Drosophila melanogaster: one gene and its partner. The protein of the gene in region 1 interacts with the protein of each later gene in a pairwise test. Each region holds a gene or a part of one and is shown on either strand. Other genes may lie near its edges. The genes, in order: CG8788 and Gfrl.

Region 1 (6,065 bases):
TAAGCAAAATTTTAGTTCGAAGCGAGGGAGAGAATACAAGGCATTAATTCCTTTGGCAATTCAACAAATGGTACATAAACTAGGAATGTGATTTTAAAATAAACGAAATAAGCATAGTCAGGCCTCACATGAGCAAAAGTAGGTATCAACGTAGTTTCATATTTGATTTGTTTATTTTGAATAACGCTGATTGGCCATCAGGTGTATGCAGATCTAATATTCCAACAAAGAAATGTAGCTTTTTGATAAAAACCCAAATATGTTTTGTGGCACTCATCTTTCCGCAGTCTTAGCTTTGTATCGAGCGATTCAAACGAAAATAAAAACATGAAGCCTCTCGACTGCAGGTAACTCAGTAGCCGCGAGAGGCGCAAAAAAACATCAACTAAAATATTTTATTTATATACACTTGTTCCTTACAAGCAGGTTCTGAATAAAACCCCCCAAATGTATCTTTCTTTGTCTTATCAACGCGCGGATAAGAGAACATCTTATCTTACGAAAAACCCACAATACCACTATTTTAATCACGATACACCTTTAAGTTGAATGCATTCTTGTGTATACTTTTATTGCAAATCGATCGGGTGTACATCAATGTGATTTTAACTATGGCTTGGGCAATCTATCTACTACGGACTTTGCTAGTTGGGGGTAGTCAAGTAGGATGGAGGCGCTCAGGTCTGCTGCCTCAGACCCTTTACATATCGCACCGGAACCTCTGGCAGGTAAACGCAGACGAAGAACATCAGTGGTCCGAACGCAATCATGCAGATCAGCCAGTAGATCAAGCCCAGGATTGTGATGGCGTCCATATAGAAGGAGGAGGAGAAGGGATCGATCGGACAGCACGTACAATGAATGTCTTGTGTAAAATCGTAAATAAATAACTAGTATCACTAAACACCGGACTCGTCCAATGGAGATGGTGCAACAAGGCAAAAGGCGGTTGTTGCCAGTGACAACGCTCCGATGTTCCTAATAGGGTATCAGATATATATATATAGCTGCAGGTCACTTTAGACACGGATCAGGACTCATCCGACTGGTGCTCCGATCCACAATCATCTGTTAATCTTCAAGCGCGCCACCTTAAACGAAATGAAACGAGAGTTGTTATTGCATCAATTGTGGTATGGCAATTGCTAACGCGATCGCGAATCTTACAGCGTGCTGAGAGAATGCCCAATGGTAACTGCCCAGCTGCTCCACTGAATCACGCACTTATGTACACACCACCTGGCAAGTCCCACGCCCAGATTGGTTATTTTCGGGGCTATCCCCGGACACTAACATTCCCCGATCGTGGCTTACTCAGCTGTTCGCAGCGCCAGTTAATTCGCAACTGATTCTTAACTGGTTATGCAGTTCCAGACCAGATCCCCCCAAAATATCAATATCGCCCACCTCGCTCAGAGCTCAGAGCCAACCTGGCCGAGCGATCTACGTTCAAGGTGAGCCAACGAATGAATCTATGACCGCACAAACTGGTTTGCCAGAACATCGGCTAGAGAACGGCGGCTACGCTCCTCTGGCATTTAATTAATCCCACTGATCGAGCTTAACCCCTGTTCATTCGAAAATTGCAGGCATTGAACGGCTATCTGGTCGGAAATTACTGCACCCTCCGAAGCCATTTACTCATGGGCTACTACGTCTGATAAGGCGGTTGCAAGATAATCAAAATATTCCCTGTGCCAAGTAAACAGGGCCATAAACTACATAGGAACTGCTCCAAAAACGTGATAGAAATGGAGAAACTAGGGAATACGAAGGGAAAAGGTACCCTGTGTGCTACTAGACTGGTTTATATAACAACATTGGGGTCATTGATCGAGCTATTTGACCAGATTATCCACTATATATACTTTATACTTTCCATATATGTATATGTATATAAGTAAGATACAAGTAAGTTACTCTCTGAGGCTACGTAACTATGTGGGAAACCTGCTTCAATGATATAAAAGATTAAAAGGATCATTTCAATCTTATCTTGATTACAATTTCTTATTCATTCATCCCTTGAATACAAAGATCTTTTGATTAACAAGCTAATCTACTATGAATCATTCTAATTAGTGCTTAACTATTTATTTTCTGAGTAGTGGTATCTATTCTTATTTCCAATTTGGAACTGCCCAACGGGAACACAAATAAAGATGTCAGTCAACTCAAATTCCTCCTATCTAATCTGGCCCTTAAAAGAGGTTTACTCCAACCAACTCACATGATGTAGAAGTAGTTGTCACTGTCCTTGCGCTTCGCATCGCACGGATTGGCGCTCTTGCTAGAGACCGAGCTGGTGGCTCCTGGCTCGGGATCCGTGTGCTGGGAGCTGGTGCTCCAGCTGCGACCCCAGCGGCCGGCGACTGAGGAGCCGGGCACATTGGCCTGCCTGTTGCTGGACAGGCTGCCATCCTTGGTGGAGCCGGCGAAGAACGACTTGACGCTATCCATGGTGCGACCCTCGCTACAAATCTGGTTCCGATTGGCCGTCTGAGTGTATGTGCGTCGAGCCTCCGCAAAAACGGCCGAAATTGATAAAGCTAAAAATATATATGCGAAGACACCATAATTTATTTATTTTGTCTGAAATCTTGTTTTTTTCGGTGGGCTCGTGCCCCTCTAGCTGTTTCCAAGTGCGGGGATCTTCTCCTCCGGCCGTCGTACGATCCAAATTGAATTTATTTAAGGTGCGGTTGGAAAACAAGTCGGGCTATTGATAAGCTCTTGGTATACATCTATTATTATCGTATCTGCTCCAGGTGGAGTGGCCATCTTGGAGCTTCATACTTGTTTTTTTTTTTCACCGATGGAGGCTCTTTGTGCTTCATCCGGAGGGGAGTATGTGTGAAGAGTAGGCTGATCAAACAGGCTTTGGGAAAACGGCAACTAAGTGGCAAATGCGACGCAGTTTCAACTCGAATCTAAATATGTAAGTATACACATACGTATGTACATATGTAGGTGTTGCCGCATACATATTATCAATTAGCAGTTCAGAACAGTTCACTGGCTAAGCAGATCGCTGATAACGTGGTCGAGAATCGGCGCAAACACGCGCCGCCCTCGGGAGCCATGGGAAATAGTTAAGTTGTTTGGGACTCCGCCGGGCCTTCTGGGCTCCGATCAATGGGTTAGTCGGACGTGGCCAGATAAGCGGGCTGCGGACCTTGAAGAGCACCAAATGCAAAGTGAACCGAGACTAATAACCGGGCGAGGTCAACCCATTGTAGCCAACCATCCAACTGACCTACCTTAAATGCTTAGTTCACTCGACTTCGAAAGGGACGTGACTCCTGGGGCTTCACTCCAACTCCAGTTGCTGCGCTTGCTCTGTTTTTTTTTAGTGCACTCAAACGAAAAAAACTCGATCACCTGCAGTCGCGAGGAGAGAACTGTGAACCGTTTTGCACAATGTCTGCGATCGCACTGAAAACGAAACAAGGCACGGCGTCGGCATCGAGTGTTTTTAGTTTTAATCAATTTTAAATGCGAAGGCGTCGTGTTTTGCCGCTGTGTGAGTGGCTACCACGCAGCACACACACATGGGAAAGCCGCTCGTGCACTGGAAGAAATGGCACGGATCTGAAATGGATTTAGGTACAAGTTTCCTATTCATTCAGTTAATATATCCAGAAAACATAAATACTAAATGCTACTGCTTAACTTTGGGTACATTAAATTCAATTCCTTGTAATGAAATAACTAGGTACATACGCATTGTTTGGAATGTGCTTGTTTCTCCAAGTGTACGTCATATGTGCGGTGTAGCAATGAGTAGTATTTCCAAGAGTTTCTTGGGGTGCTGCCATAGTCTGGAAAGCGTCTGGTTTCTACATCTGTGGTACACTGGTACCAAACATTTGTTTGTTTTGATCGCCGTTTCTTTTAGTTGCTTTCATACATATGTTTTGGACTGTTTTGGCTAAATCTGTGCGGTGGATACACTTACCTTCTACCTGGTGTTCATCGCAGATCAGCCTTGTCCTCGCCGCACTTCCGCCCTCGCTCTTTGTCACTCTTCTCGGTCTTGCCTAGTCTTCCTTTCCACTTTTGCCTTTTTATTGTGCTCCGATGCATGTTGATTGTCGTGGACTTTGCACCCTCAGTTTTCCGCTGTTGTAATGCTCGTTTTACGCATTTACAGGAATATAGTCGACTAGGAAAGCACTCTTTACCCGTTTAATCTGGATTTGTCAGCCGATAATTCAGTGGAATTAATTCTGTTGAATTCATAAATAAATAGATAAATTGTATGATTCATTAACCTATTTATTAATTGGTTGATAGCTTTGGGATAGTGATTAAACTCAAGCAATTCACCGATGCAATCTATTGTCTTGAAATGATAAGAATTGAAAGAATGTTGCTATGAATTTAAAAATCTTTAATGAGTGGCTGCCACTTTAATCTAATTCCACGTAATCTTAACTTTCTGAAGGTGCTGGAAACCCATGACACTTTAATTTTCAGAACATTCAACCTAACTATAAATTCAAATCGAGTGGCAGCTCCGATAACGGTCACAGCTGCTAAGACCAGGGCGGCACACTGTGTGCTGTCGCCCGATAACTTCTTTGTTTTGAACTCACGGGAAAGCAACCCTGCGTGTGCTCTCGCCAATTGGAACTGCGAATATACTGCCTGTGTATATATGTAAATGTTTATAATTAGCAATTTTTCTACGAAACAAACGATTAAATAATGCAGTTTTCTGCCTACTAAATGCCAAATACAACACACAGACTTCGAGCCACGAACGGTGATGTGATCAGAGTACTAGAGTAATCCAACGAAAAACGCGAGTCCATTTTAAAGCGAAGTATAAAGTGCCAAACAAAGGGAGCAGTCGAACCCAGTCCAAATCCAATCATTATACTCGGTCCGTGACCTGCCGACGAGCCAGCGAGTACGGCAATAAGCATGGGCAACGCCAGCTCCTCCGTGCACATGCAACGCGAGCGCCACAAGTCGACCGACTTGTCCACGCCGAGCTCTCCCGCACATTTCCGCGATTCGATTGGTGGAGGAGGAGCGGGACAGGGCGGGAGTGCTGGCGCAGCAGCTCTGGGCGCTGCAGCGGGGGCGGTGGGAGCTGCGGGGGGTGGAGGAGGAGGCGGCGGAGGCCAAGCTTTCTCGTTCGACAAAAAACATACGGCAGTCTTGAACGAGGGCTCGTCGCAAGAAGACGACGACCCGTACTACACGGGAACTGGAACTGGATCCACTAGACGAGGCACCGCACACGACGACGCGACATCAGCTGTTACCCGAGACCACTCCAGCATGGACAACAACGAGGAGGAGGAGGAGGCAGCGGTAGGAGCGGAGCCAGCGACTGGATCTCAGTTAACCGGCGATGAGGACGACATCCGGAAGACGGCACTGCCCACAGTTCTGCGGTGGGACGGCGGCGGCAAGAACGTCACCATCTCGGGCACATTCTCCGATTGGAAGCCCATGGCCATGGTGCGCAGCCATCAGAACTTCGTGACCATCATAGATCTGCCGGAGGGCGACCATCAGTACAAGTTCTGCGTGGACGGCGAGTGGAAGCACGATCCCAAGCTGGTCAGTTGGGCGGAAAATCAATATATGCAGCAGGCTATTCAGTGTTTTTGATTCGGGCGCCCGAATGACGCAGTTACCGATTTTCGCCCCGGGTTGTGTAATCGCCGTAAACAAAACGAAGTCTCCCAGTAATCGTAGTGGATTTCAATTGGGTTCAGAGATGCTCATCCGGCTTTAGCTTTTTTTTTGTTTTTTTTTTGAGGAACCCCGTTCAAATGCTTCGCAAATAACAAATGCAATTAAAGTTACAAGTTTAAGGGAGCAAACTGCGATAAAACCCATTTGTAGATTACTACTAAATCCGGTTGGATGTCGCTAGTTTTGTGGACACAGTTTATCTAAGTGACCATTGAACATTGCTATCAGGCGAACAATTTGAACTATAGAAAAGATTTAAGGGAATAGTAACGTTTTCTTAGATAAAATATTTTTCTGGATAACAAAGTTCAGGACTGTGATAGAATATATGACCTACTTCGCAATGTTAA
Region 2 (5,035 bases), on another chromosome or scaffold:
AACAAATTGCTCCGAACCGAGCATAAATTAGCAATGGCAATGTAATTACACTTTCATTAGATTAAAATATCATAAGTGCCATAAAAATTAAGTTATGCCGAGGGGCGAGCACAATGGAAATGAAATAATCAGCTTACCTCGGCTGCGGGAAAACATAAAAGTCCGGCCGCACAAAAGAGCCTCGCCGTCGAGGAGCCACCGCGTTGCCAGGACACCGGCCAGGACTCATTGTTTTGGCAAGGAATCGCTTTGATTTCACGCGATAATTACAACGTGCTCCGCGAAGAATTATTCCGACTTGGGTTCGTGCAGCTATTCAGGTGGCAAACTTCGGGATCCTCAATCCCTGAGTCCGCCCACCAATTCTGGTGGAATCGGAGCGTTTCCTTGAGTCCTTTCGACGGCCAGTATTTATAGCCCCGGCGACATTTTGACATGCCGGGAGTGCCGACGCCCAGAGCCAATTTCTTGACCCCTGGCCAATTTTGACCCATTCTTTTAGGTCTTGCAAAGAGGAATTAATATTTTTGGAAACACTTATTACTCTCTGATTTATGGAAACTATGGTTTTATTTAACTAAACGTTAGTAAGGAGGTGTATTTCTCACATCTATATCTTGACTAGCTACAAACATTTATAGAAAAGATCATTTTAATTTTAAATTTGTATTAAATAAAAGATTCAATATTGCAAGACTTTTAGCATAAGTACGCAAAATTCCTTAATTTAAATAAAATATTTTAAAATTATCCCACCCAGCTTATTTCCATATATTTTGATACAAAACTCGATTGCATATCACGACATATAAATAATAAGCTGTGAAAGTATTTTCGGGAACTTTTGGGTTCATTTTTGTTGCGAATATTTTTTGTCGATGCCCTTTCATTTTTTAGTTCTAGCCAGCAAAATGGGCTGGCGGGTGTGGGTGAAGTGTCGAAGGGTTATCCTTTTTTGTGTGTGTTTCTTTTGCCAATTACCGCACGCTTCGTGAGGCATGGTCGCCGCTTCGGGCACTCGCTGCGTATACGTAATTTTTATTGGACACTCTCACGCGTCGTCATCCATCGTCTGCCGTCGTTTCCACCATCCATCCATTCGTTTTTGTGTCACGTCGTGAGCTTTTGGCTCGTACGCAGAGTCCTAGGCCAACACGAGAATTTTAATAAGAAATCTGATAAGTAAGCTCTAAATGCGTACGTTATTAAACAGAAGTCATTTGTATCTAATATCCATTAGGGTGACGTTTGTATAGCTTGATATCAAAACATAAAGCTTTAATAATATAAATTTAGAAATGTTCTCACTTACATACATAATTGAAGTCTATTATGGACTTGACATTTGAATAACGCTAACAATACGTTTTTGTATATTAAAATACCAAAAGTACTTATAATTTTGCAAAACTACAGTAAACTTTTTAAAGGAAATGTTTAAAATGGAATAGAACTTGCGAAGCGAGTGACTTTCGATACAAGACCTTGTTTCCTACAGTTTGAGAGTCATACTCTGCTTATTCCACGAAAAAAACGAGAATGGAGAGGGAACTTACTCGCCGAATGTGCAACCAAAACAAAACGGATAATTGTTAGTGTCCTTTCTCTCTTTTACTCTCAGCTGGAAATCTCTGACTTTACAGCTGTTATTTGGACTGTTAATTTACATTTGCCGATGGCCCAGAGAACTCGGAGCCGAGTCCTTAGAGCTTCGTGCGGTGAAAGGACCCGACTTCGTACGGGCCAAACAGTTTTCGACTGAGACTCGTGACGAACGGACGCGCGGCCAATGGCAAGCGGGCAGTGCGATTCAATTCGATGCGAATTCGACTCTAGCGGAAGCGGAAATACGAATGCCAGCGAATTGCCAATGGCACGGCTGATATGTGTGCGTGCCGCGAGCGAGGATCGTCGAGTCGAGTGAATGGAATATCCAGAAACGTCGATCGCAATCTTCGAGTCAACACGGAGCTAAGCTGTAAATCATAAAGTGTCAGTCAGAAAAACCAACAAAAATCAGTCGAGTGTGCTTTCTTCGCCCGAGATTTGTGCCACTGCATACTATAGCCCATAGTATATAATTTAATTTGCCAAATGTGTTGGAAAATTGTATGGCCCGGCGAAGGGGAAAGTGGCAAGCAAAGGAAAACTCCGAGCAGCAGCTGGCAGTGCCGCACGGCTTACTGCTTACTGCTTATGCTGGTAATGGGTTAATGCGGTTGAGCACTCGCATGCCTTCACGCTTATCCCCCCACCACCCATTGCCCCTCTTCCATCTCACATCGCTCCGAAAAAGCAAATATTTCATGTTATTTACCTAGGTGCGCCACTTTCGTTAATTGTATGCAAAAAAGTTGCCAACCTTATCCCCTCCCACCACACTATGGCACACTCTCCGTGTGTGAGTGAAGTGAAGTTTTTGGCTCAGGTTTATTCGCTACAACAACTTTCGGGTGGCTGGTTCAATTACAAACCCCTGGCCCACGGCCCACAGCCCACAGCCCACGGCCCATCGCATATCGCCTGCCGCACTATTTCCGCTCTAAAATTTGAGCCAACTTGCCGTTGCCAGCTGGGCTCCTCTTGGTTTAGTACTGTTTCAGCAAAGCAAAACCTGTTCCTGCGACGTTGCTGCGCCTCACTTAGTAAATAAATTGGCAATCGCATTTAATGTGAGTTTATGTGCGTCGATACCTTGGGTCGACTGCTCGGCTCGGCTCCTCTACTCTGCCATTTGGTAGTTATTTCTTTTTTTTCGGTTTCTTGGCTCGTGCTCATGTGCAAATCGTAAATTCACGTTAATGCCGAAATTTCACGTGATAATGACGTGATTACCTGGCGCACACACACACACAGGCCCACAATGTGGCGATCCATGCACATGTCTCCATGTCCCCATGTCCTCATGTCTCACCATGTCGCCTGCCTATCCTTGTCTGCCAGGACTAGGGGCATAAATACGTAACATCCAACTGGGAACTTGGTACTGGTAACTGGTAACTGCTAACTGGGAACTGGTAACTAGGAACTCACTCCGATGGCAGCTCAACTGAAAAATGAGTGCCCCTAAAATAGTTGCAATGCATTCAACTGAATCGGAGTGCGGTGGTAGTCCTGGCCGGGAATTTCTGGTTAGGCCCAAGCGTAAAATTGTTGGCGTAGTTCCCAAGTGCTGTTCAATGAGTTGGAGTTGAAATTGCTGCAATTGTTCAGTGCCACCGCTCCATTCGTCGTAATCCATTCCCAATTTAAATGGCAAAGGGGTTCTGTTCTGATTTTTTTTAAAGCGTTGCCTAACTGTCTCAAAGTTTCTTTGCAATCGCGTAATTTGGCCGTATTCTTTGCGTTTTATTTGCAACTTTTTAATTACTTTTGAGTAGCGATTTGAACTTTGCGCCTGTCGCCCGTTTACACTCTAATTAAGCGGCCCATTCAAGGGCTCTGTATTTTGTATTTATATCCTTTTGCTCCTGCTCCTGTTTCTTATCGCGCCAAGTAAAAGAAGTTCTCGGCTTTTAAATGCAGCTGTCGCAAGTTGGTGGCGCTTTAAACGTTCGCTGGCATTTCCGTTTCCGTTAAATCGCTCCTAAGCCAGTTTGTTAGTTTTACCTTGACATTTTATGCAGTTTTTCTCGGTGTTATATGTATGTATTTTTTCTAGCTACCTTTTGTGTGCCTTTGTTTTGCTTGTTACCTGCGCGCAATTTTTTCTAGGTACACAGAAAAAATAATCTTAAAGAGATTACGAGATTATGATACCACCTAACTTACATTTGGATGTATAAATAAATTTTCTCATAACTTAGGTCTAGCCAGTTTTCACTTTAGTGGAGTGTTAATAAATTTGTTAAGTTAAATAAATTAACTTACAAAAAAAAAAAAAAAGTTCAAAGAATATCGGTTTCTGACTTCATTCTTTGTGGTCAATCTGGGACATGCCATTATTTAGATACTTTTTGTTTCAGCTACATAAATTGTATTTATTTTGTGAACAACAAAAGAAGTACGCGAAGGTACGCAACTCCAAAGTGAATTATTTCGCCGTGTGTAGTGGCGATGGCAGCAGCTGCTTGTGGAACAACTTTAACATTATTTGCTTTGCTGCAACACTCCCCCGCACCCTGCTCAGCGATCCGTGGCCTTTGTTCGTCTCCGGACTCCTTTCACTTTGAGTTCCCCGCTGTCCGCACCCGAATCATGAATCATTTCTGCCGCTGCACCCACCAACTCCCATCAGCTCCTGCCGTCCTTTTGGCCACATCTAAGTGTTGTTTAATGCAGCTTTTCAACTCATTCGCTTTGACATACACGTGTGTGCCGTGTATGGTTCTGGGTTCCGGCTTCCACTTTCAACTTTCTACTTTTTATTTGCCAACCTTCCAACCTTGGTGCCTTTGCATGTAGCATCAGATTTGCTTATGCAAATGCGTCGCCGAGAAGGGGATTTGCCATTTGCACCGCTCGTCCTCGATCGAAATGTTTACGGTTTCTATTCGAAGAGGGCTGATGTCATAGCTTGTCGATGGCCAGTTTAAATAATTGCCACCGCAATAAATTATTAAATCAACAACAATTACTCACTGGCCGGCCAAAGGGAATCAATCAATGCTTGTGGGGGAGTCGAAAATCGAGTGAAATTAAGTGATGTGGAGTGGAGTGGATTCATAAGCTGACAAAATGCCAGCTCACTCCATGCACCGTAGGTGTATTATAACGAGTTTCATGACAGCAATTATGCGAGGTCGGCACCGCACTCCTCCGCACACACACAAACACACACTCCCGCACATATGAATACTTATTATTACGCATACGCAGTGGTGCCGGAGCAGGCTAATGTGTGGTTTGGGCGTTGCTTTTCGAGGGCTTTGTAATCGATATTACAATGGCATTGTGTTAGGGCCTCGATATGCTGGCAGTACAGGTATTTTTTCAGCCTTTTTATCGCTCCCTGCACCGCGTTCAATGGATCTGGGCGTATAATCGAAGGGTCGTGTTTGCCCGGGGGAGTTGACAATGCATGTTTAATGTACTT

Evidence for each region.
Region 2: the proteins of CG8788 (region 1) and Gfrl interact in a two-hybrid assay, tested with the Drosophila melanogaster proteins (one large-scale study listed by BioGRID).

The regions. Positions count from the first base shown.
Region 1 is NT_033778.4:9,136,464-9,142,528, reverse strand, and holds CG8788 (uncharacterized protein), read right to left. Parts: upstream 4,044-6,065; 5' UTR 3,959-4,043; intron 3,592-3,958; 5' UTR 3,261-3,591; intron 3,176-3,260; exon of another isoform or gene 2,550-3,175; 5' UTR 2,461-2,549; coding exon 2,231-2,460; intron 1,834-2,230; exon of another isoform or gene 1,408-1,833; intron 1,308-1,407; exon of another isoform or gene 1,168-1,307; intron 1,092-1,167; coding exon 1,079-1,091; 3' UTR 816-1,078; coding exon of another isoform or gene 678-815; 3' UTR 548-677; downstream 1-547. Other genes in the region: CG44286 (uncharacterized protein), read right to left, coding at 678-815; alc (alicorn), read left to right, coding at 4,930-5,577.
Region 2 is NT_033777.3:20,446,402-20,451,436, reverse strand, and holds the start of Gfrl (glial cell line-derived neurotrophic family receptor-like), read left to right. Parts: upstream 1-1,749; 5' UTR 1,750-1,978; exon of another isoform or gene 1,979-1,992; intron 1,993-5,035.